Linked DNA regions of Styela clava. The protein of the gene in region 1 purifies or fractionates together with the protein of each later gene. This does not show direct contact. Links are inferred from orthologs where the notes say so. Each region holds a gene or a part of one and is shown on either strand. Other genes may lie near its edges.

Region 1 (6,973 bases):
TGACTTAGACAGACATTAAGATACAGACATTTGGATGGGATGGACAGAAATTCGAAAATATTCATTTTGCTACCAAAATCTTTTGTGTATGCACATTTTTCCTTAAATTATCAACACCTGAAATTCCACATCACTATTCTAAAGAATCAAAAATTATGACTCCTGTGATTTTGAAACCATCAATTTGACTAAGAGTTCTATTCAAACAAATTTGCTTTTCTTGGAGTTCAAGACTAGAGTCCAACTCTAAAATCTATGCCATTGTTGAATGGCTTGGAATAAAGTGTGATTTTTACACGACTCCACATTTTGCCAAAATGTTCGATTTCTCTGTACAGACATCTAGAATTCAAATCCATATTCAATTTAAAACAGAACTACGTCAACAAGAAAATTTACCTTATAATCTTCCCCGCATTTGTCTGGCCCAAACATAATTGTGTACGGTGTTTTATCGTTGAAAGTTTTCTGAAAATGTAAAATAGTTGGTTTGTTGAAAATGCTTTTACGATATTGATAGAAAAGAGAATTGACGTTTTATTGATAAAAACTTACTAAGGTAACATCTTCAGTTTTTGAAAGGAGTTTTACATAGCCACCACCACATTCGATTCCATTTTGGAAATTGACTTCATACTGCATGACAAATGGTTCTCCATCAAATTCATATGGCTTTGACAGGTCGACAGAAATTGCATGATGTCTAAAATAAAGACATATTATATTTATAATTTATAAAGATCTGTTGCATCACAAAAATTAAAAGGTACTCACGTAGTATGTGTACCAAGTTAGGGATAGGCCATAATTTGATACTGATTTTTCCTATTTTAGTTCTATTACGAGTCGGGGACTGTCTGTGTTAGTCGAGTGAATATAACCCCAGCCCATAGGTTTCAGTCCCTTTACACAACTTGATGTAAAGTAGGTTACTTACATCAGTAGTAGTTACTTCCATATTGGTTTATATACTTTTGGAGCACCTATTAATATATATTTTATTGTTTTATACAACAGCATAATAAATTGAGTAAACAATAAGGAACAAGAAAGATCTCAGACTTTCAAAAAAATGTCATTGAATATCAGTGGATGCCTACATGGCCTTGTACAGAGGGAAAAGCCCGAATAAGTGTTGTATACAATACTGAACAATGATGCATTCCAACAGTAATTACAGCAAACACAAACGTATATACAAACAATGCTGATGTATACAGTTTAGATCCAAACCGGTTACAGATAGACTGACAAATGAGTCATTTCAGGATATTGCATTAGAATAACCATATCATAAGTCAGATGTCAACTGCGAACTGTTTAAAAACGGATGGGTTTCAAATTGAATTGAGACAGGAACAGTAACTCCTCTTCAAAATTTAAAAATATACAGGAATGCAAAAATGACATTGCAAATGAAATGCCACTAAAAATAATGGCGCTCCAGAAGTATGCTTACCAATATAGAAGTAACTAGTTATGTTCGCCTACTTTACATCAAGTTATGTAAAGGGACGGAAGCCTACGGGCAGGGGGTATATTCAATTGGATAACACAAACAGTCCCCGAACCTGGTACACTTATTACAAGAGTACCAAAATACTAACCTCGCTTTATCTTTCAAAACTAATCCCAAATCGCCATCTAACAGTGGTGTAATGGGTTGAACAACTTCCCAACGACCATTATATTTTGATATTTCTTCATCAACACCATCTTTTTTTGCTTCAGAAATTTTCCAACTAAAACACAATAAAAATTAAAATAATATTATATGCATTACAAAAAAATTCAAATTTTGTTGGAAGCTCAAGCAAAGCACGAAAATGAAAAGCCATAAAAACAAACTAAAAGTAATTATTTGTTATATCATAATGGCAATAAATAACCAGTATTTAGAATAAGATTTTTTATACTAAAACTGGAGGCAAGAAAAGGTGCCTCTCATCTGGTTACAAGTCTAGGTGTGGGAATCCCTTGGTAACAGTTGAACATCGGGTCAAAGGTTCAATACACAACTATACGAAGGTTGTTAATGGCAGAACACCATTCATTGAATTCCAGTATTGTATGTCCCTTGCTTCCCTTTGCCAAATGACGTTCAGTGTCGTGAATTCGCAATGATACATGCATGGCCAATAAGTACAGAAGTATTTCATGAGTTGAATATTATGTTACCAATTTTATATGCCCTAATTCAAACTTCCACTACTGGTAATTGCCAACCCCTGCTTCGTAGTCAGCAGCAACAACAAGGCGTTCTTTGCACTCGGCTCATATAAGAGTGAAGTTGTAACCAGACTGTGATTATATAACAGTAAGATGGGACCTCCACAACCCATTGCAATTAATTTAGCATTACAATTACGATGTTTCTTATGCTAAGTACGGATGAAAATCAAGATAAAAATTAATTAACAACCATTCAATAAATATTCAAATTGAAATTACTGCATTTATCATACCCATTAATAGAATCTGCTTTATCGAAAGGTTCTGCAAAGTTGACGTGGCCTTTGGGAACCGGTTTCTCATATTTTGTTATCTGGAACAAAAATAGTTCGTATTAACGAATAATATACAGAACAAAATAAAGAATTCTTTTAATATGATGGTGCTGTAAAATGCTGTTACGATTATTATCCATCAGTCCATAGATTCAAAGCATTTATAGATTATAAAAAATAACAATTTGGATTACAATAAAACAATAAAAAGGGCAAATTGCAGTCTAGTTACTATAGGAAGAATTTCTGGAGGTCAAAGGTTGAGGAAATACCCCTTAAAATTCTACAATATGAAGAATCTTACTGTGGATTCTGGTTCTTCAACTGCTTCTTCAACAACTACTTCTGCCTCATCATCATCCTCGGCCATGTTCAAGCCGAATCCAGAGAACAAAATTAAAAGAAATACTAATCCAAATTTAATGACAACCATTTTTAATCCTGGGTTATTGACTCATGTGGAATTACTAAATATTATTAAATATTACTTCAAAATAAAAAAGAAAATCAGTAAATAAATTAATAATATCTGATAGTTGAAGCCCTAAAGTTTTACTATAGCTCACATAATTCAATTACAGAATTACAGTTTTAATTTTGAATTCGGGAATTGGGGTTAACAAAATTATCCGAATGATTTCAATATTTAAAAAACTCTCAAATCGCGAATTACAGAATTATATATATCATTTCTTGTACATTTCAGAGCAGCAAATTCTGCTTATACTACAGAATTACAATAGCCAAGCAGAAAAGAGCGAGATTTGGAAATAAATATCAATTCTAATTGGCAGATCCAGTGCAAAATTGAGAAATCATACCCCTACCAGTACGGTGCATAAATGCTGAAATGAACACTGTGGTACCCACTTTCATCTGCTCATGTAATGATATCAAACGACTATGCATACCAACGCTCTCAGACTCTATTACTGGAATGAAAAGAATTTGGTAATCAGCTAGCAGGCCAGGGTTTCCACTTGCTTCTAAAGTTCTAGATGCCATTGCTCCAAGTCCATGCTTCCGAAAACAAATAACTAACTAATCCCATACCTGCATACCCAACGTGGAATGCCGGAATGGTAACCGGACAAGAGTTCGCCAGCCTTCTTATCGGCTTTCCTATCCCCGGGATAAATAGTTAAATCCTATCCTAAACCTGTCAACCGATTGATCAACTACCGTAATCTAATTCTGTAATTCAAAACGGTAAATTCAAAATTAATGAACTTAAAATTTACATCCCAACATCTCTTCTTTAGAACCTCTATCTCAGTATCTACCCTAATATCGATTAACAGAAATGGGCCAAATAATGCCATCGCGTTGTACATAGCCTAAACCGTGAATTCATTCCAAAGCAGTAGCTCAACAAAAATCGAAAGTTTTCTTATTTCAGTAGTGCAGTACCGGTAGTAGAATTTAGCTGTTGGTCGTTGGGTTTCTCCAACTTATTCCATGATTTCACCAGGGACCAGCTATTACGTTAAATAAAATACAGGCCTAAAACTTGTTTACTGCTCATGACATGGTCGTGAATAACTAATAAAATGTATATTCTATCATTTTATACTTATGTAATACAGTAATATCTGGCAATATGAATTGAAAATCCCTATCACGCGAAACACGCTTCCTCACTATTCATGCGAGACCAAGCACGTGATAGTGTTTGTTTAATTTATTCCTCGATGCGTGGTGATCTGTGAGTGGTCGATGTCCGATTTAAATTTACACGGCGTGACATGGATAGTATGCGTAATTCTTGCGCCATTTGTTAGCTCAAGACATTAAAATGTTGACATAAATCACATTGACGACTACCTGCTGTTAAATCCCTTCCACGCAGATAAGAATTACTAAATAAAACTACGCGAAACAGAGCGTACGGTGTCTGGCGACAAGTTTACGATAGATAGGGATTTAACTCAGCCGTGGCACAAAATACGGTAATACTTACAATGCAACAATCACATACGGCGGAAATTCGCCATGATTTCGAATCAGGTGAGAATAATGGTATGTGCAATCTCACCCTGTGACGTAGAATATAAATTATGAAACTCAATGCGATAATGCCTAACCTGATTTTGATACAACAGAACTCCGGTCATTTGGAACAAAAGCTACAGAAAATATAACTCTCGTGCAAAGCGCCCTATTTTACTGAGATTTCTGGGTACAAACCATACTTTTCTACATGAATAGTAGTGTTAACATCGTATTACACAAATGTATGTAAAAATCAGACGTCGAGAACTTGTTTTCCCATTATAAATATGATAATTCATAGAATAAGATTTCTATTTTTACCTGTTGGGGATGATGGATAGGGACCGTCTATCGCAATCTGTAATCGGTCTTCATAACCCCAAAGATAGCTCAAAATTAATATCAAAAGTTTGCAAAATTGATGAATTTATTGGCACATTCGAAAGTAAAAAAGTTAATACTGCTTACAAATAAGACTTCAGTTGTGCAAACTGCAATACGTAAATGAAAATTTCATACTTGTTCTACAATTATAACATGATAAAGAATATTTGGAATGGATCCTAATAGGCAATATGCTGATATTGAAACAATATAAACAGAGCAGTGATTAAGGTGAAATCAGTATATGGCAACAATAAACTAACAGATAGTGTTATACCAAACCCCAAAAAATTTTAAAAAAGTTTCAACTTAAGAATAACTTCAACTTTCAATGATTTTTGCAGTGACATCAACGAAATTTAACTCTAAATTCCAATTACGACTAAACAACACTGATCATTTAAAAAATGCCTACACTTGTTATAATTGTGTATTTGATTATATAGTAATACCCACTAGCACCTTTACAGAAAATGTATTAAATTTCATAGTTTTGATTGATAGTTGGCAGTGGAATTTTTATCTTCAAAAAAATAAAAAATTTCCTATTGAAGAAATATTGAGAAGTCACAGTTCATCATCAACTTTCTCTCCTATGATGCCTTCAAACTGTGGAGTCGGAAATTCCAGCTCTTTTTCTTGTAGAAAACCATCTTCATCTTTATCCATCACCTTGAATAGATTTTCAATCGTTTTTTCCTTCTCAGCACCAGGAAGAAGTTTGCCGTTACCAGCGTCAACTTCTTTAACAATGTATGACATCAACTGCAGGAAGTATATCGAAAGATAAGTTTTACTGGAGAAAGGGAAGTTGTGTAGAACCAAAACTGGCTATGGCGCACTGATACCCAGAGTTCGAAATCCAATATCTAATCGAAAAAGATTGGGAATTTTAGTTACCCAACAATTGTCGGCGAGTATTGTATGCTTTTTTGGTAAACCAAGATTTTTAATACATTTTCATTTCATCACTCCCAAATATGTCAAGCATCCACTAATATGTAAAATTTACTGTTTTTGGTGAAACGAACATTTTTCCAGTTCGGCATTACCAGGCTTATTACACCCCCAGGTGAGATGGTGGGCATGGCATTTCAACCCAAGATTTCAAACCTGCGATGTCAGCATAGTTAAGTCTATTGCATTGTGTCTAGATTACGTAAGTACTGAACTTCAAAAATCAAAAATGATATTTATTGTTACATAAAATGTTTTCATTGTGTACCTCATCAATAGAAACTTTTCCATTGGCATCATCATCAATCAACGAGAAAAGATTCTCAGGTTCAGATTTGCCTTCCTTCCACATGAATAACATTCCGTTAGGTAGAGAGTCTTCAATTTTATGCAGTTCCACAGTATATACCAGAACAGCACTACCAGGTATACCATCTGAATGAAACAAATTTGATAAAAGATTGAAAAACAAAATTATTTAATGAATAAAAACAGATTTGGGGGGACTCGAGTTCGACTTGAGTAGGACCAGAGTCACAATTTATTGAACACTCAATGGAATGACTTGGAATCAATATCGAATAACCACCAGTGAGACACAACAGAGGAATTGACTCAAATTTGGACTCGACTTGAGATTCAGATTACCCTCGACTCAATGTGCAGGGGTCTTTATTCGACGCTCCAAAAGTTTGTGTTACTAATTTTGTTCGCATACTTTACATCACGCTGTGTAAAGATGTGAAAGCCTATGGGCAGGGGGTATTTTCATTTGGCTAACACAGATATTCCCCGAACTCGTAATAGAACTAAAATAAGAAAAATCGGAATAAAATTATGGCCTACCCTAACAAACTACGGGAGTACCCTATATCCAATATTCACAAACTTAAAACAGGGAGATTTATGTTTGAAATCAAAACCTCCGCTGTATAACTCTACCTGCACCAGGTTCTCCAAAACCGAGATGAGGTGGTACAACTCCTTTTCTGATCTCCCCTACACACATTCCTGTTAGCATATTTTGAAGACCAAGTATGACTCGACCTCTTCCGTTGTACGTTGCCCAAGTCCCTTCTCTGTTCTTACTGTAAATAAGAAACTATATTAGATAATTACCTAACATGACAAAT
Region 2 (7,822 bases), on another chromosome or scaffold:
GTTAATTAACGTTTTATATCTACAGATGTTGATACAAATTCTGATAACAAGTAATAAATTTATCACATATCACGGAACTAGTATAAACTTATGCAGGTTAATGATCCTACAATTAGACCAGGTTACAATGAAAAGAAAGACTGAAGCTCAATAGAAAGACAAAACTATCGTGGATGACAATTTAGGCAGTTTTATTCGAGTAGAATAAAAAACAAAAAAATATTTTTATTTTCTTCATGTACACGAAAATTTGGTGGCACTGGGAAGAGACAAAATTTGTTTCTTTTTTGTGGTATCGAATAGCACCAGCTTTTGGCAATGAAAAAAAAAGATTTAATTTTTAATTGCACTAGTCAAATACACATGTCATATGATACGGATTAGTAAAAATTCATTATATTATATCATTGATTGGGAGCATGGCCACACACAATTACCAATAATATACCCTATAAAGCATTACACTTTGAAATAACCAATATAACCTGGCCCAACATAGCAACATTAAAATATAGATATACTTCTGGATCTCTATATACTAATTAAGCTCACCATAATAACAAATATCATGAAATAACATCAAAAATAAGCACTAATTGAACTTGCAAGCAATTTGAACTAAAGCAGTGGCTGTCAAATTAGAAATCAATGGAATAGACATAATTGCACTAAAATAACCAAATATAAGATTAAAGACAAACACAATGCAAATATTTATACTAACATGCAAAAAATGATATGTCCGAATAATGGGGATGAATCGAGTTTTATATCATAACTGGTAGATATTATGACCTAAATACACCGCAACAGCGAGTCAATATAAATAATCTCTATATGAATGTGATTTAGTATTATATTACCAAATTATTTGTATGTGAAAAACCTTGTTTAGACAGATTCTGAAATATTAGAATTTCAATAAAATTTAACAATTGCTCATTGAGTTTAAATAATAAACAACTGTTTTGTTGATATTGGGTTCAAAAAATAAAAATCGAACACAAAATTGCCTAATCACAAGTACAGTTAGCAAATATAATACACATTATCGTTTCATACTTCCACAATATAATGAATAAAAGACAATAGGAAGTTCAATCTTGATATTTTTGTTCTAATGTGAAATGCCTAGTGTGATTTACAGTTAAAACCAGTACTGTGCAGTTTGTGCCATTCCGATTTTGTCATGTTTTCAAACTCCCAGAAGTAGGAACCAAAATAGAAATTTCAGGCTTCTGATAGCAGTAATCTAGTTTCCAACAAAAACTAGAAGAGCAATTGGTTGACTAAACATTCTGTGCAGCAGGAGTCTGGAGTAGTTCTCGAAGTAAATTCCAACTTTCACATCCTATTCAGAACATGCAATAAAGCCCTAATAACAATGGTTTTGCTTGGAACAAATGTAATGCAAAACAATAAAGCACCTCAAACTATGAAACAACATACCAACGCTATACTTACACCACCACCACATTAATTCATAAAAAGATACTATTCACTTTCAGTGCGCTGAATTAATACAAAGTTTTGACAATAAAGACGACCAAACTAGCAATAGGTTATAAACTTTACTAGGCTACTACATGTTGTTTTGTTGGTAAAGTATAAAAAACGACACACAAAACCTAACCAGAAGATAAAGAAAGTAATTTGGCACTGCTGCAGAGATATGACAGGTTTCAACATATAAAATATATATATATATTTATGTAGGCTATATATATGGATATGCCTAATGAATATATAATTTATAATAAATTACATTTTTTTGCAATTCTGAACTCTTCAAGCACTATCCATTAAAGAATTTGCCATCAAATATTTGACGATTTGCTATTTTTAATAACAATAAATCTTCTAGAGATAGATGGATCAAAGCATGCCCATGATAGCACGCTTACGTAAGATCAGTACCCTAGATTTTTTGCAACTCCTGACAACTTTGCTAAACCAAAATTGACAATTTGTTTGGCATTTTGTACGAATGCACCCAGATGTTCCCTTGTTGCCTCTTTATAATTATTTGTCCAATCTCGTACCAATATGCATTCCTCATTTGCTTCATTTTCTTGGCAATATAAACGAATTCCTATTGCAGAGGCAAACACAGCTAAAATGGACATCAGAAGAACTCCCCAAAAACTAAGAAGCCAAGATTTTGACTTGCTAAGATCTTTTTTTCTATCATCAGAAGAATCTCTTTCACTTTCACTGCTGCTTTCATCTGTCCTCTTGCGCTTTTTTGTTTCTATTTCTTTTACTCTCTGTATTTCTTCCCACCTTTTCCGCCTTGCTTCTTTTTCAACCTTCTTCGCTTTTTTTCGTTCAATGTTCTTTTTCCTTTCTTCTTCCTCTTCTGCTTGTTTTATCAATGCTTGTTTTTCACGATCCCTCTTCAATACTTCTTGTCTTTTTCTTTCCATGTCGGACGACAGAACTTTGAAATGAGCGATGACTTGAGTCGCACACTTTTTACATTCTTTATCATCCAAACAACCGCCGACAATCTTTACTAAAACGGGATCAAGAGGATTGTCTTTCAGATCAAGATATTTCAATGTTTTCATTCTGGAGATATCAACAGGAAGCGTCGTCAATTTATTATCGTACAAATCCAAATGCTGAAGGGCAGAGAGTTTGTAAATGTCATGAGGTAATTCTTCAAGTAGATTTTTGCTCAAGTCAAGTTTTATTAAATAATGCAAAGTTGAACAAAAATTTTCAGGTAGTCTGATGATTTGATTGCAGGATAAATCAACTGATGTCGCTTTAGCAATTGACAAGATTTCTTTCACAGGAACTTTTGTTATCTGCATTAGACTGAGATCCATCTCATTTCCCTCTACTTTATCTCGGATTTCTTTTAATGAGATCCCGCTCGACATTGTGATCTTCTAACTTGCGAATGAAATGAAAAGTTGATTGAAAAACTAAATACAAGCTAAATTTCCTATATTTTATCTGCTGCAACTACCACGCCAATCAGATACGTTATCGCAATCTATTAAAAACAAACATAACATTAAAAATGAATAACGATAATACAGTAATAAGTCCAATCAATCAATTATTATTTTATTTTGGTTGCTCTGGTATAAAACAAAACAACACTGAACGCAAAAGATAAATTTATTTCAAAAACTCCACTAATTACACAAATTAAAAATGGAAAATTTTGGAGGGGAAGCAAAACCTTAAAAAAAACGTAAGAGTAAGTGGCTGTCCACCAAAACAGTTGAAGCACACTACAAAATCGGGCAATAACTATGAAATCAATCTAAGATTTGAAAACGCTGATCAGAAGACGAACAAGGCAAATTTTTACAAACTATAAAAATTTTGTGGCAGCGGTTGTCATATATCAGTACCGTACATCCGGTCTTACTACTTACTGAATACAGCGCGAAACACCACAAAGAGCGCAAAACAGAGGGAAACAGCGCAAAACAGTGGGGAAACAGCGCAAAACAGAGGGAAACAGTGTGAAGCAGAAAAATTTTTTGCAATGAGTTCAGGGCAACTTGTTTTGAGTTGGAGTACCACGGCAGCAAATTAAAAACACAAACCATCATATGTAGCCAGAAATGCTGTAATCGCAGGTCTGCCCCTGCTGGTGGCACATTTTGGGTACCATAATTTAGAACATTTTCCATATGGATATGGTTGGCTTTAGGGTTAGGGTTAGGTAAAAAGGGACCTCCAGAAGTATGTGCACCAAGATGGCGCACAACCTGAAAATAGTATGTGTGTGTGTGGCGGATTCAGGTTGTGCAACATATTGCTGCACATACTTCTGGAGCACCAAAAAGGTAGATAAAATTTCGCATGATGACCTATAATCCGGTACATAACTTTGTAAATATACCGGTACTACGGTACCGGAAATAGAGCCATAAAACCATGGCTGCATGGCGAGAGGCGCCGTGGTTCTTTCGTGGCAGGAGGTGGTAATGACTGCGTCTCCTGTTTTGCGCTGTTTCCCTCTGTTTTGCGCTGGCTTCCATCTGTTTTCCTCTGTTTCGCGCTGTATTCAGTAAGTAGTAAGACCCCCGTACATCACATGTCTGTATCAGTGTATGTGCAATATTTTTAATGGGGAAACATATTACATAAAATGTTTCACAATTTTTTTTGCCTCATAGCCTAGCCCACATAAAGACATACTTTTTTTGAATACGGTATCGATAAATTGAATACTAGTACCAAATTAATAAATCCTGAAATCTGTAAAGGAGCTCGAACAGTCCTATTTATTATCATTACCCAGTGCTGCAGTGTGAAACGCCACTAGTCTCAATAACAAATAGTAAGCTTATTAAAACTGCTCAGCTACGTCTGTACGTACACCTATGTCTGCATGTGAACATTCGGATCAGACACCACCACACTAGTCTACTTCTACTGCTGTACTACTTAACCATAGTACTACAATGTGACACGCGCCGCCAAATCAAAAGCGGCAAAACGAGACTGGCTGATATATAGGATTTGCATGGGTCACGTGACTTTGTTTACTGGACGGCAAAAAAACAAAAACGTCCAGCTGGCTCCTGTCAGTTCACTCAGTTGCAAGTCGAATTATGGACCTTTCTCCAAGAATCGACTTCCTTGTTTACTTCGTGACATTGGCCAATCAGCTAATTGCAAAAAGTGACGTAACAATGCTCCCTTTTCGCATCCGCTCAGACACTTTTCTCACTCAGACAGATTTTCAAGCGTGGTCGTAAACATTACCTCGTTTTCGCATTTTTGAACTCCATTCGTTAGTTTTCAGTTGTGTTTTGGAAACTTAAATGTAAATCAGATAATTCAATGGTCACCCTGTCTTCCTAGGAGTTTTAATTTAATTGTCGTAATGAAAATTAGTGTAGAAATAGCTGTGATAGACTAGGCTAAAATTCTTTAACAGTACTGTTAAAAAACAGATTGTTGTATGCGATGAATCATAATGATGGTTCGAAACACATACCCTCATTTCACGGGCGCCAACTCGCAAAAGCACTCTTAAAATAGCCCCGGAAATTTTGCAATGGTAAAGTATAGGAAGAATTTTTCGGGGTTCAAAGGTCGGGGAAAGATCCATTGGTTTCCGTTTTGTTTGGCTGTTGAAATGGTTATTTCGTATTGTTCCGTTGGCTGTCAGTATAGTATAGATAGACAACAAAATGGATCTTCAGTTATATTCCACTGTTTCCAAAAGATCCGGAACGTCGCGCAATGTGGATATCATCTATTGGCAGGACTGCTTGGTGTCAAGTCCAAAAGTCATCTCGCTTGTGTTTCACTGTTTGCGAACAGCAATTCGTTGACGGGTAGTGATAATGTGCCGTTAACAATTTCTTTTAATATTCATAAGCTCTCTCATTTCAATGGAAAGCAGATGACAAACTACTGTTATTGGTAGGCCTACTTGCAGACTTGATTTGTGTAAGGAATTAATCATCAATTGCCATAAGGTATTGTTTCCCTGGTTAGCAGGTAATCTATTACTAAGTGAGAAAAGTTGACTAGATAACTAAAGTTTAACGCCAGTGGTCCGCATCTCTGATCACCCTGGTAGTTCCACAGGTTCCAAACCCATGCGGGGATAGTTATGTGCGAGAGGATTGCAGCTCTCTTTCCACTGAGGGTGGTTCACACGACCGCTGGTCGGTTACTACATCCCCCACCATTAAGTCCATGCTTCTGAAAACAAATAACTGGCTAACTAATCCCGACATAGAATGGCATAGCACTGGCGGTAAACTTTAGTTATCTATTCAACTTTTCACACTTACTAATAGATTACCTGCTAACTAGGGAAACAATACCTTATGGCAATTGATGATTAATTCCTTACACAAGTCAAACCTGCAAGTAGACAAGCAAGTAGGCCTACGCCTAGTCTACCAATAACAGTAGTTTGTTATCCGCTTTCCATTGAAATGAGGGAGCTTAGGAATATTTAAAGAAATTGATAACGGCACATTATCACTCACCATCTACGAAGTGCTGTCCGCAAACAGTGAAACACAAGCGAGATGACTTCTGGACTTGACACCAAGCAGTCTTGCCAATAGATGATATCCACATTGCGCGACGTTCCGAATCTTTTGAAAACAGTGGAATATAACTGAAAACAAAATCACGTGACCCGTGCAAGTCCTCTATACTGGTAGTCACTCGGAGTTTGGGATGATATAAAGAGCAGGCCGCTCTTGCCGGTATCGGCCAAGGGAGATGAAGTGAATCAATGGATAACAATAATTTTGCTAAATTATTGGACACGTTAGTGGACATAACATAATCATAGTCAAGTTTATTTTTTCCATCCAGTAAAAATGATAACCATGCAAAATTAAGACGAACAAATAATAGTAAATACACATTTCACTAGGGAAGGGAAGCCGCGGGGAACCAAAGCTGGTTATTAAGCAGCGATACCCAAGGTTCAAATATCCAAATAAACATTAGTCAAGTTTTAGCAACTTGATAAACATGCAAAATTATGACGAATAATATTAAATACACATTTCACTGGGGAGGGGAAGCTGCGGAGAACCAAAGCTGGTTATCAAGCAGCGACACCCAAGGTTCAAATATAAACATTAGCCAAGTTTTAGCAACTTGATTGTTGGAGAACTGTTATTGTTGATAAGCAACGATAACGATCGTTTTGCATTTTATGCTGGCACTCTTCTTCTTCTTCTTGTTTATATTCTTCTTGGTATCGTTATGAAAAATATCGCCTTTCTCTTCAATTACCGGACCAATTGCTTTGAAATTTTCATTGATTAAGATTCAATTTTTTTCTAGAAGGCTATTACTTTTATTCATTTCAAATATTCCCGTGAGCTGCATGGAATTCGTTTTTTTGTGTGCTGGACGTCATCAAAATTGGCCACTATGTGGCGCCACGTGTCCATATATTTGAGCATAGCTCTCTTGTTCTTCTGTGTGGTCATTTGGTACTGTTCTCAGATATGAAAGGAGACTTTCAAACTTTCCTTGGCTCCTACAGGACTTAATATTCCAAGCCCAGACTTGCTATGTGTAGAATACGCCACAATGCAATAGAAATACAATGAAGCAATGTCTTAACCTAAATATATGAACACGAAGACCAAAACCATTTTTCAAATAACAAATTTTATGAAACAGGCCGAGCCGAAAAATGTCGATAAACAATGCCCAAATATTATTGAAGGAAAACAGATTGTTGATTAGAAGGTTGAAAGTCAACAAAAATACTTTGATGGGTTATTCGCAGATACAAAAATAAAAAATTGGTATCACCAACGACTTTGAAAACAATTCATTTGCGAGGGGATAACTTGCGCATAGAAAAGAATGGAAGAAGAATAGAATTCAAAAACAAGTATGAGAATGCTCACCAATATACAATAAAACGTCATAATTGTACAGAATGTAAACAGAATTTGTTGCAACTGATAAGTTCTTTATGTTATTGGTAAAAGCAAACTGCAGGGTTAAATTGTGAGATCGAAGACTAAATGATTAGAAAAAGTTGAAGGGCCACCAAAATACTTCCTGAATTCAGAAACATAAAGGGACAAATTGAAACAATTCAAACCTTCGAAAACACAAAATGGAAGAATTGCTGCAGATTTAAAGGATAAAAGAGCAAAAGCCTTTTTCAATGTAAAGGGAGATGTAAAATTATACTCATCCAATAAATTTGTTATATAATTTAGATTTTAGAACATTTAATTTGGAGTTGAATAAGACAATTTTAGATCAAGAAAGATCTGTAGAATAAATAATTGTGGCTTTCAAATTCACGACGCTGGATGAAGCCCCAGGTCTAGATAGACTCACA
Region 3 (7,620 bases), on another chromosome or scaffold:
CCAAAGAATTATAAGTGAAAAACATATCACTAAAAGAGTTGCAAGCTACAACTAATGTGAAGTCACTAGTAATTAGTAACACGTGCTTCGAAATAAGTCAAGCTTGCCTATAACACGCAAGATAAAGTGGCTTCCACAACGCGAAAAATTGTTTGCGAGGTCTATTCTTCCGAAAATCGGTCGATCAAGATAGAATTCTTTTAATTCAAATAAAACTGTATTTATTAAATACAGATATTTATAAACTAAGTTTACCAATGAATTGCTATTCCGTCAACATAGTCGTTCACGACTGAATCATTCAGGACAACCTTTGGCCATTCCGGTAACAACAATCTTTGATCATCCATTATCATCAGTGTTACGTCGCCGTGACCTCGGTTTTCTAGTGTTGGACCCTACTCAATAAAATGGGAGAAATTGTATGTCAGTATTTTCTTTTATAGTTTTATTAACAGTATACAAAAGAATACGAACTAATTTATTACCAAATCTAGTTTTATGAAGTCTCTCTGCTGAATATCACTGAATCCCATGCACTGAAATGGAAAATTCTGAATATTCCCAGCACTTGGTTCATTTTGCGCTGTTAATCCCCAGATGTCTACACCGTTCTTTGTATATTCTTCTATAAATCTATATAATACATAAAATCAAGACAGAACGTGTTCGATGAATCTATTACATAATTACAGAAAGAAGTTATTGTAGCGATTTCAATTACTGTACACTTGAAATATAATAATAAACACGTGGATCGAAATGTTAGTTTTTCATAAATAGGATCTATTAGTTTGAAAGAAGTGTAAGCTTATCCCCATTCTCGACTGACTAAAATGAACAATACCTGGTACTCCTGAAGTATGCGCACTAAAATGTCGCACAACCTGAACCCTAACCTGGTACACAACCTGAGTTCAGGTTGTGCGCCATCTCGGTGCGCATACTTCAGGAGGTCCCAATACCTTGCAAAATACAGAGCCCAAGTGTGATAGTATGGTCCACCTGGTTCCCCTTTCAAACTTCCCTTTCCGATAAGGTCATTGTTTGTTTTCATCCAAGCGGGTGCTGTCCAAGGGCTGGCATAAAAAGACATCTTTCTTTTATTCATTGCCACGGCCTTCTTTATGTATGGTATCTTCGAAGATGTAAAGAAACGAAAGATTTTCAACAGCAGTCGATTATAAATTTAACATCAACTTATTTAAATGAAATTACTTTGTAAACAAAATCTTCACTTGCTAACGAAAAATTTGTTAGGGCGAAATCATTCTCGAAATCATTGTACGTGTATCCTCGAGTTGAAAAATCACAACTTGCTATAGGAATTCGACCCATGTTATATTCGATACCTGGAAAAGTTGAAGTGACCTTGTTACAGAAATGTTATAATACCAAGAGATAATACATAAAATTATGAAAACTGACATTTATAATTGAAATCAACAAGCAATACACGTTTTTTAAACCGTTCAAAATGATTTATATACATATACTGTTTGCGAGCTTTTGAATTCTAACCACACAAAAGGATCGTAGCCTATGGTGTACATAAATATCAATAAACTTACCCTCTGGTGAAAAATATGACCTCAATAAATTCTCTTGAGCCTGTTGAGGTAAGCTTGCAATATTTATTCCAGCAGCATCCGTGAATGCACCGCCGAAGCCTTTAATTGTCTGCAACCGTTTACCAGAATTGACTGTTATTGTAGCTGAATGAAACAATAACATACATATTTACACAAAAAGGGATAAAACCAGGATAAAACTCTTCATAAAACACAAACGCCGAATGTTCTGCGGCTGGAAAAGAGCACTTGATTAATTGTTGTTGTTCGGGGTCTTGTTGAATGAATTGAAATATTCTCACAATGCAAAATTTTAGTTATTTAACATTTTAGCGAAACAATTGAAATTTCAAGTTTTCGCATAGCTTGTTAATAACAGTTCTTAACATAAACTGTCGGATTACGATTTTATGCTAGATGAGAAAAAATTTAGGTGTTCATACGGGCTACACTAAAGGGCCTGTCGGGTCAGTTGTGGCCCGCGGGTCGCTTGTTGCACATCCCTGGTTAAGTCATTTGACCTTGTGTCCACATTTGTGTGCATCTCTCATATATATAGACTATGTTAGGAAATGAACAATTCAAATAATATTTAATTCCTTACCTACATCACTTTGCGATAGAGAGCGAAATTGATTCGATGTCTCGTTGAAACGAAGTCCACTCTGACTCGATGTATAAATAATTATATATCCTTCAGGATATGAATCTGGAAGCGGATCGAGTGTATCGCAATATGTTGAGTTACATACACAAACCATACGATCTTGATCAAAATATTTCGGCTCACATGTTCGACGTTGTTCTAAAAGCAAGCGAAGGCAATTCGGCGTAAGCAATGACTTAAGCAGATAACATTGCCACTCTCGTGGGCTATTCTTGATTTTAAGACCTTTCATTATGATGCTCAGACTGAACCTCTAAACTATTTCTCGGAATGTTGGAAATTATCGAAAAAATTGGGTTTCCAGCTTGTGAATTTCCCATTTAAAAATAAATATTCCAAAATATTAATTTTTGTGTACGGTTACTTCCAGTGTACCTTCAATGCTATTTTCATTCTATTGCTGGCGATGCCAATGAAGAGAGCTTCAGGTGATTATCGCCAACCACATTCATCTAAATTTGGGGTTGGCATGGTTTAAATTTCTTCTTTGACTTATTGTAGAAAATATATATATGCTTCCGATAAAACGAATGATATGACTTGTCATAAATAGCCTACGTGACTTTCCCCACCGAAATATGTATCGAACATTATTTCACAAATATTCAAAAAAATTACCATACAAAATAACATACGTGGAATAGATGAAGGCATCAACAATACAAGCAGCAACGAAACAACTCCTGCAATCACAATGCTGCTCAATATTAAGCTATATCCCACGACTGACTTCATTCTTCGCTTCTATTATCGTTGAACTCCACACTAAAATATCGTCTTCCTATCACGTACTCATCATGTTTTAATTTTTATCGCTATGTGTAATGAAACATTACGGATAAGTTGCATAATTTCTGTCAATTATTAATCGAAATTATCCACTAAATATTGTTTGATTTATTTCATCATGGTTGATTATAGACTAAATGAGGATTATTGACTGACACTGTTCATAGAATGATGATATATATACTTCCGCCTTAACGAATCATGGAAGCCCAACACAAGGTTTACGAATAAGAATGCACTCCCCGAGTCTCCGTACATACATTTTCAACGGTTCTAAAATAGACATTTTATGTACCTTTCGCTTCAGTGTCTAATACAACTTCTCAAGTTTTCTAGTTGACTGATTCTTTTATTGGATATCAGAAATCCAGATATCAAATATCCAGAAATCATTAAGACTAATTGTAATGCTGCACTGGAAACTTTTAACAACAAAAATATGAAAAAAAATTGAATGCTGTATTTACTTATAATTTATTACCATTTATATACATTTGTAAATATGTATAATCGGGAAAAAGTTTCTGAGGTAATTTACAACAACATTTGTTGATTTCCAAGATTACAGTGAAATGAAGTTGAGACGTCCGAAACAGCGTAGTCTTCGATCCCCGACTAGTGTGTTGTTGTTGACATTTACATCAATTATTACTTACAAATGAATTATCTGGTGGAGCGACTTCATATTTATTTAGCCCAAACTTTAATACTTCTGACTTGCATAGCAGCGTTCTCACCATTGTCAACGTCTGGCTGCCATGATGGATACCTATAGTAAAAGAAAAACAAATTTAATAGGGGCGATACATTTTGATTTAACTTTAATAGACAAATTAATTTTTTTTTTAGTTTTTACTAAACATCAAGCTTTTGACAATTACTACACTTATATATATACTCGTCACGATCACGATGAGCCAAAAATATTGGAATTCTCGATATTCACTATACGGGAAACCAGAAAAAATATTGTGCATTTGAGACCTAAAGATAGATTCCGAAAAATTTCTTTTTTATCTCAATTGTCTCTGACTTTTTCGATGACATTCGCGTAGAGGAATTGGTCCCGCGAACTATCGCTGTTTCATATCTATTTAACTCACTTCTTTCTAACTTTTCTACATCTCTGTTTTTTTTTATTAATTAATAACTAACAACTGAATACTCCCACGCTTCATTGTTTCCGGGTAGGAAAATTACATTCATTGAGGCTCTTCAACATTTTGGTATTATTGGGAATGACTTAATTACTCACCATTCGTCTTTTTTCAACCAAAAATCTTTCATTGCCGTTGGTGAATCATTTTTCCATGGCTTTTCGCGAGGTGCATTTATCCAAGAATCTGGGAAAAATCCATTGGTGCCGCCGACAGCCACATTTATGAGAATATAGAACTAGAAATAATTGTTGAAAATACTGAATAAACCATAATTAAACAATCTAAACAAACGAGCAATAACTGAATGTTTTATTATCATGTTAAATTACTTCCAAAACTTACTTCTTGATCAAATGGTGTCATTTTGTTGTTAGAATTCGCCCATGGATTATCGATACCCGGTGCTTCTTTTTCAAATTCACCATAATCGAAAAATCCTCCAGGTCCCGGATCAACTCTTCGCAGCAATTTACCATCCACAAACAAATCTATATATTCTGCTGTCCAATCAACAACCCATGTGTGAAAGGCCGATGCGTACGTTCCCGAAGCCGGATGACTGTGCCAGATATATATTATTGTAGTATATAAATGAAATGGAATTAATGATTCAGCTCATATTTTCTCTATATTTTTTAATTTTGCTCGTCTTTACATAACGTTAAGAAAACTTGGAATAAAATATCACGAAGATGAGAAGATTCAATTAAACTCTGTAAGCTCTTTGATGTATAATTTAGGTGCAAATTTATAACGCAACCAGATTCGAATTTCGAACATTAATTAAATTATTGGACGCCATTGAGTACGAAAAGAAGAAAGAAGCTAATGTGGAATGCTTAAACTGTGTGTCTATAGATTAGGATTTCGTCTAATAAAGAACGATAAATCGAAAATTTATTCTAAGTGATTCAAGAGTCTTGCTGCACGCTAAAATATATTTCTGTAACGTTTCGTTTAGAAGGATGAGTAGTTAGTCCCACAGAAACCGAATCATTATCGAAAATTTATATTCCTGCTTATGACAGACCTTTCGATTGTTGTCTTTGGATATCCGTTCAGTGGAAAGTAAGGTCCCCAATGTAGAGTCATACCCATATTGTCACGACCTTTAGAAACGCCTTCAGCATCTGTGAGATTTATATTTCCTAAAAAACAAAGAATGATGACAAAATTAGAATCATTAGTGTAACATAAGTGTGAAATGAACGCCCGTTATGTACCTCATGATATGTATCTTTCATTCGGATTATCATGTGACGTGTATTTCCAAGTAAGAGAAAATGCAACCCCTGTTTGAATGACTAAATATTAACGAACAATAATATCAAAATAGTGAGATGGCAATCGAATAAATTGAAAAACGTATTTGGGATTATAACGTAAAAGCTTGGACTCACTCACCTCTTGATTCTATAATGTCTATCTCTCCAGATGCTGGCCATCCTCCGTACCTATTGTCTCTGTTAAAGTAAATTCAAATTTGACATCAGGTCGTTCCAAAGCAACAGGCCTCATTTTTAATTTGGTTAACTCGTTATAGGGTTTATTAAAATTACATAATGATATTGTGTGTTACTTTACTATATTTCTATTTAGAAAACCTTTCTTGAGTTCTAGAATGTTTTTTAATTATGGTCCGCAATTTATGCACCGATATAGAGGGTATTTGTTTTTATGTATTCATAACTCTCTTGTATTTATTTATTTAGACTTAGATTAGTGTGGATATAGATAAAACATTTCAACGTTGAATTGCATGCCTATTGACTTTTGGCAATGAAAACGTGAGTGGTTAGGTAATTGCATTATTCATACAAGGTTGAACTTTATGAAAAACAGTCAATAACTACGCGAATATATAGGGCCAACGTCAATTGGAAAATTTCATTTCAAATTGAAGTGTGAATTTTGATTTTCTACTTATCATGCCAGTAGTCCTCAAAAATTGAGGATATACAATTATATATATTCATAGTTTAACCTCCATATTTTCCATCGAGACTGTGAAGTGGGGGAAAAAAATTACTACAGCACCAAATCCTGAGCCATTACTGCTCCAGCTCCAAATCCAAAGTTGATGCACCTTTGGTGACAAATTCAAGATTTCTAATATCTGCCAGTGTGACGTTGATACTTGGGTCATATTTTAAAACCCATCTCAGTCTCGCATTGAGCGTCTACAGGCATACGTCTCAAGCATGCTCATATGACCATCGATTTTGTAATGGTTGTCGAAGTAGATATAAAGACTTTCAAAAAGTTCAAAGTTCAAACACGAGCACTCTCCTCAAGTGTTAAAATAACATATATAAATGTTTTAAATTCTCACCTGGGTAACATCCATATCGCAGGCCACAACCAGTCCCCACTAGGCATCTTAGCCACAACTTCAATTCGTCCGTATTGGATCGCAAATGAATTCACAGAACGTATTCTGAATATGAAATGTCTATTACGCTACTGAATATATAAGATTCGTGCGATTGCAAGTAAAATGACATTTTGAGTAAAAAAATGCACATATCAATCGCGCCCATATATGAGAACAAATGAATTTGACTAATTTAACACGCTATTATTCCGTGTCAATACTCCCGCATATTATTAGCGCTTTAATGCATGGCGGGTCAAATTCAAAACATCTCTTTTGGGTCACGTGTTGTTTTTTATATTGGTCCACTTGGTTATGCTATTGAGTAACGTAGATTCTTTGCATCTGGAACGCATTCTCTCTATTGTGCAATAAACGGAGGAGATAATAGGAGATAATTCGTAATAGTGGGGGTATTAGCAAGGAAGAGGCCTAGCTTAGCAGTTTTTAACTATTTCTTCAGCATTTCGAAATATTTAGGTGGTAATGCGTGTGACAAATTTGGCACATCATGCATTTGGGGGAATAAAATTTTAAGTGCTCAGGCTGTGTTTTCTTGATTCACTGGCGTGAAGGTTTTCATATGTTCAGTAATTGAGTATTTTTAGTTCGGAATACCGTTTATATAAGTATTTATTTAGATATTAGTATTTAATTACTCGGTTATTCTCAAATCCAGCCATCAAAAAAATCTGGGTTGTTTCCTGTAGCCCTTGGCAATTAGTTTCGACATTTTGATAAGTAAAATTTTTAAACCCCATTTGACTTCTAAGCCAGTAGACTAGCTGCTAAATTGTCACCTGCGAGGTTAAACCAAGGTTTAGTAGTTGGTTGTTGTTAGTTTTTTAATATTATTAAGTCATTTTGGTTATGACATGATAGTTTGAACGCAAATTAAAATGTACTTGAATACTGAAATAAGTGCATAGGCGTGAAGAAACACTGTTTTTAGATTTAGATCTCGGTACCTATTAATTATTGTCAATTCATGGCTTTTTTTACAATAGAGTACAACTCTTGTAATCCGCTTCCAATAAAAGATTTCCGCACTGAAATCTC

The links. The genes of interacting proteins can lie anywhere in the genome.
Region 2: the proteins of calnexin-like (region 1) and uncharacterized protein LOC120336655 purify together in Homo sapiens (affinity purification with mass spectrometry; 3 studies listed by BioGRID and IntAct, with this or other methods). This does not show direct contact. The link is inferred for Styela clava from reciprocal best matches to the Homo sapiens genes CANX and LRRC59.
Region 3: the proteins of calnexin-like (region 1) and lysosomal acid glucosylceramidase-like purify together in Homo sapiens (affinity purification with mass spectrometry; 3 studies listed by BioGRID and IntAct, with this or other methods). This does not show direct contact. The link is inferred for Styela clava from reciprocal best matches to the Homo sapiens genes CANX and GBA1.

What each region holds. Positions count from the first base shown.
Region 1 is NC_135250.1:5,736,557-5,743,529, reverse strand, and holds the start of calnexin-like, read right to left. Parts: upstream 3,008-6,973; 5' UTR 2,941-3,007; coding exon 2,812-2,940; intron 2,546-2,811; coding exon 2,466-2,545; intron 1,743-2,465; coding exon 1,608-1,742; intron 704-1,607; coding exon 556-703; intron 469-555; coding exon 400-468; intron 1-399. Other genes in the region: peptidyl-prolyl cis-trans isomerase FKBP9-like, read right to left, coding at 5,451-5,648, 6,109-6,275, 6,783-6,928. UniProt on the Homo sapiens protein: Calcium-binding protein that interacts with newly synthesized monoglucosylated glycoproteins in the endoplasmic reticulum. It may act in assisting protein assembly and/or in the retention within the ER of unassembled protein subunits.
Region 2 is NC_135251.1:14,800,899-14,808,720, forward strand, and holds uncharacterized protein LOC120336655, read right to left. Parts: upstream 3,025-7,822; 5' UTR 2,889-3,024; coding exon 1,911-2,888; 3' UTR 39-1,910; downstream 1-38.
Region 3 is NC_135255.1:13,705,550-13,713,169, reverse strand, and holds the start of lysosomal acid glucosylceramidase-like, read right to left. Parts: upstream 3,025-7,620; 5' UTR 2,974-3,024; coding exon 2,874-2,973; intron 2,377-2,873; coding exon 2,176-2,376; intron 1,716-2,175; coding exon 1,572-1,715; intron 1,353-1,571; coding exon 1,219-1,352; intron 1,139-1,218; coding exon 966-1,138; intron 637-965; coding exon 489-636; intron 399-488; coding exon 256-398; intron 1-255. Other genes in the region: beta-1,3-glucan-binding protein-like, read right to left, coding at 3,715-3,796, 4,283-4,422, 4,530-4,746, 5,218-5,335, 5,592-5,650, 6,520-6,624. UniProt on the Homo sapiens protein: Glucosylceramidase that catalyzes, within the lysosomal compartment, the hydrolysis of glucosylceramides/GlcCers (such as beta-D-glucosyl-(1<->1')-N-acylsphing-4-enine) into free ceramides (such as N-acylsphing-4-enine) and glucose.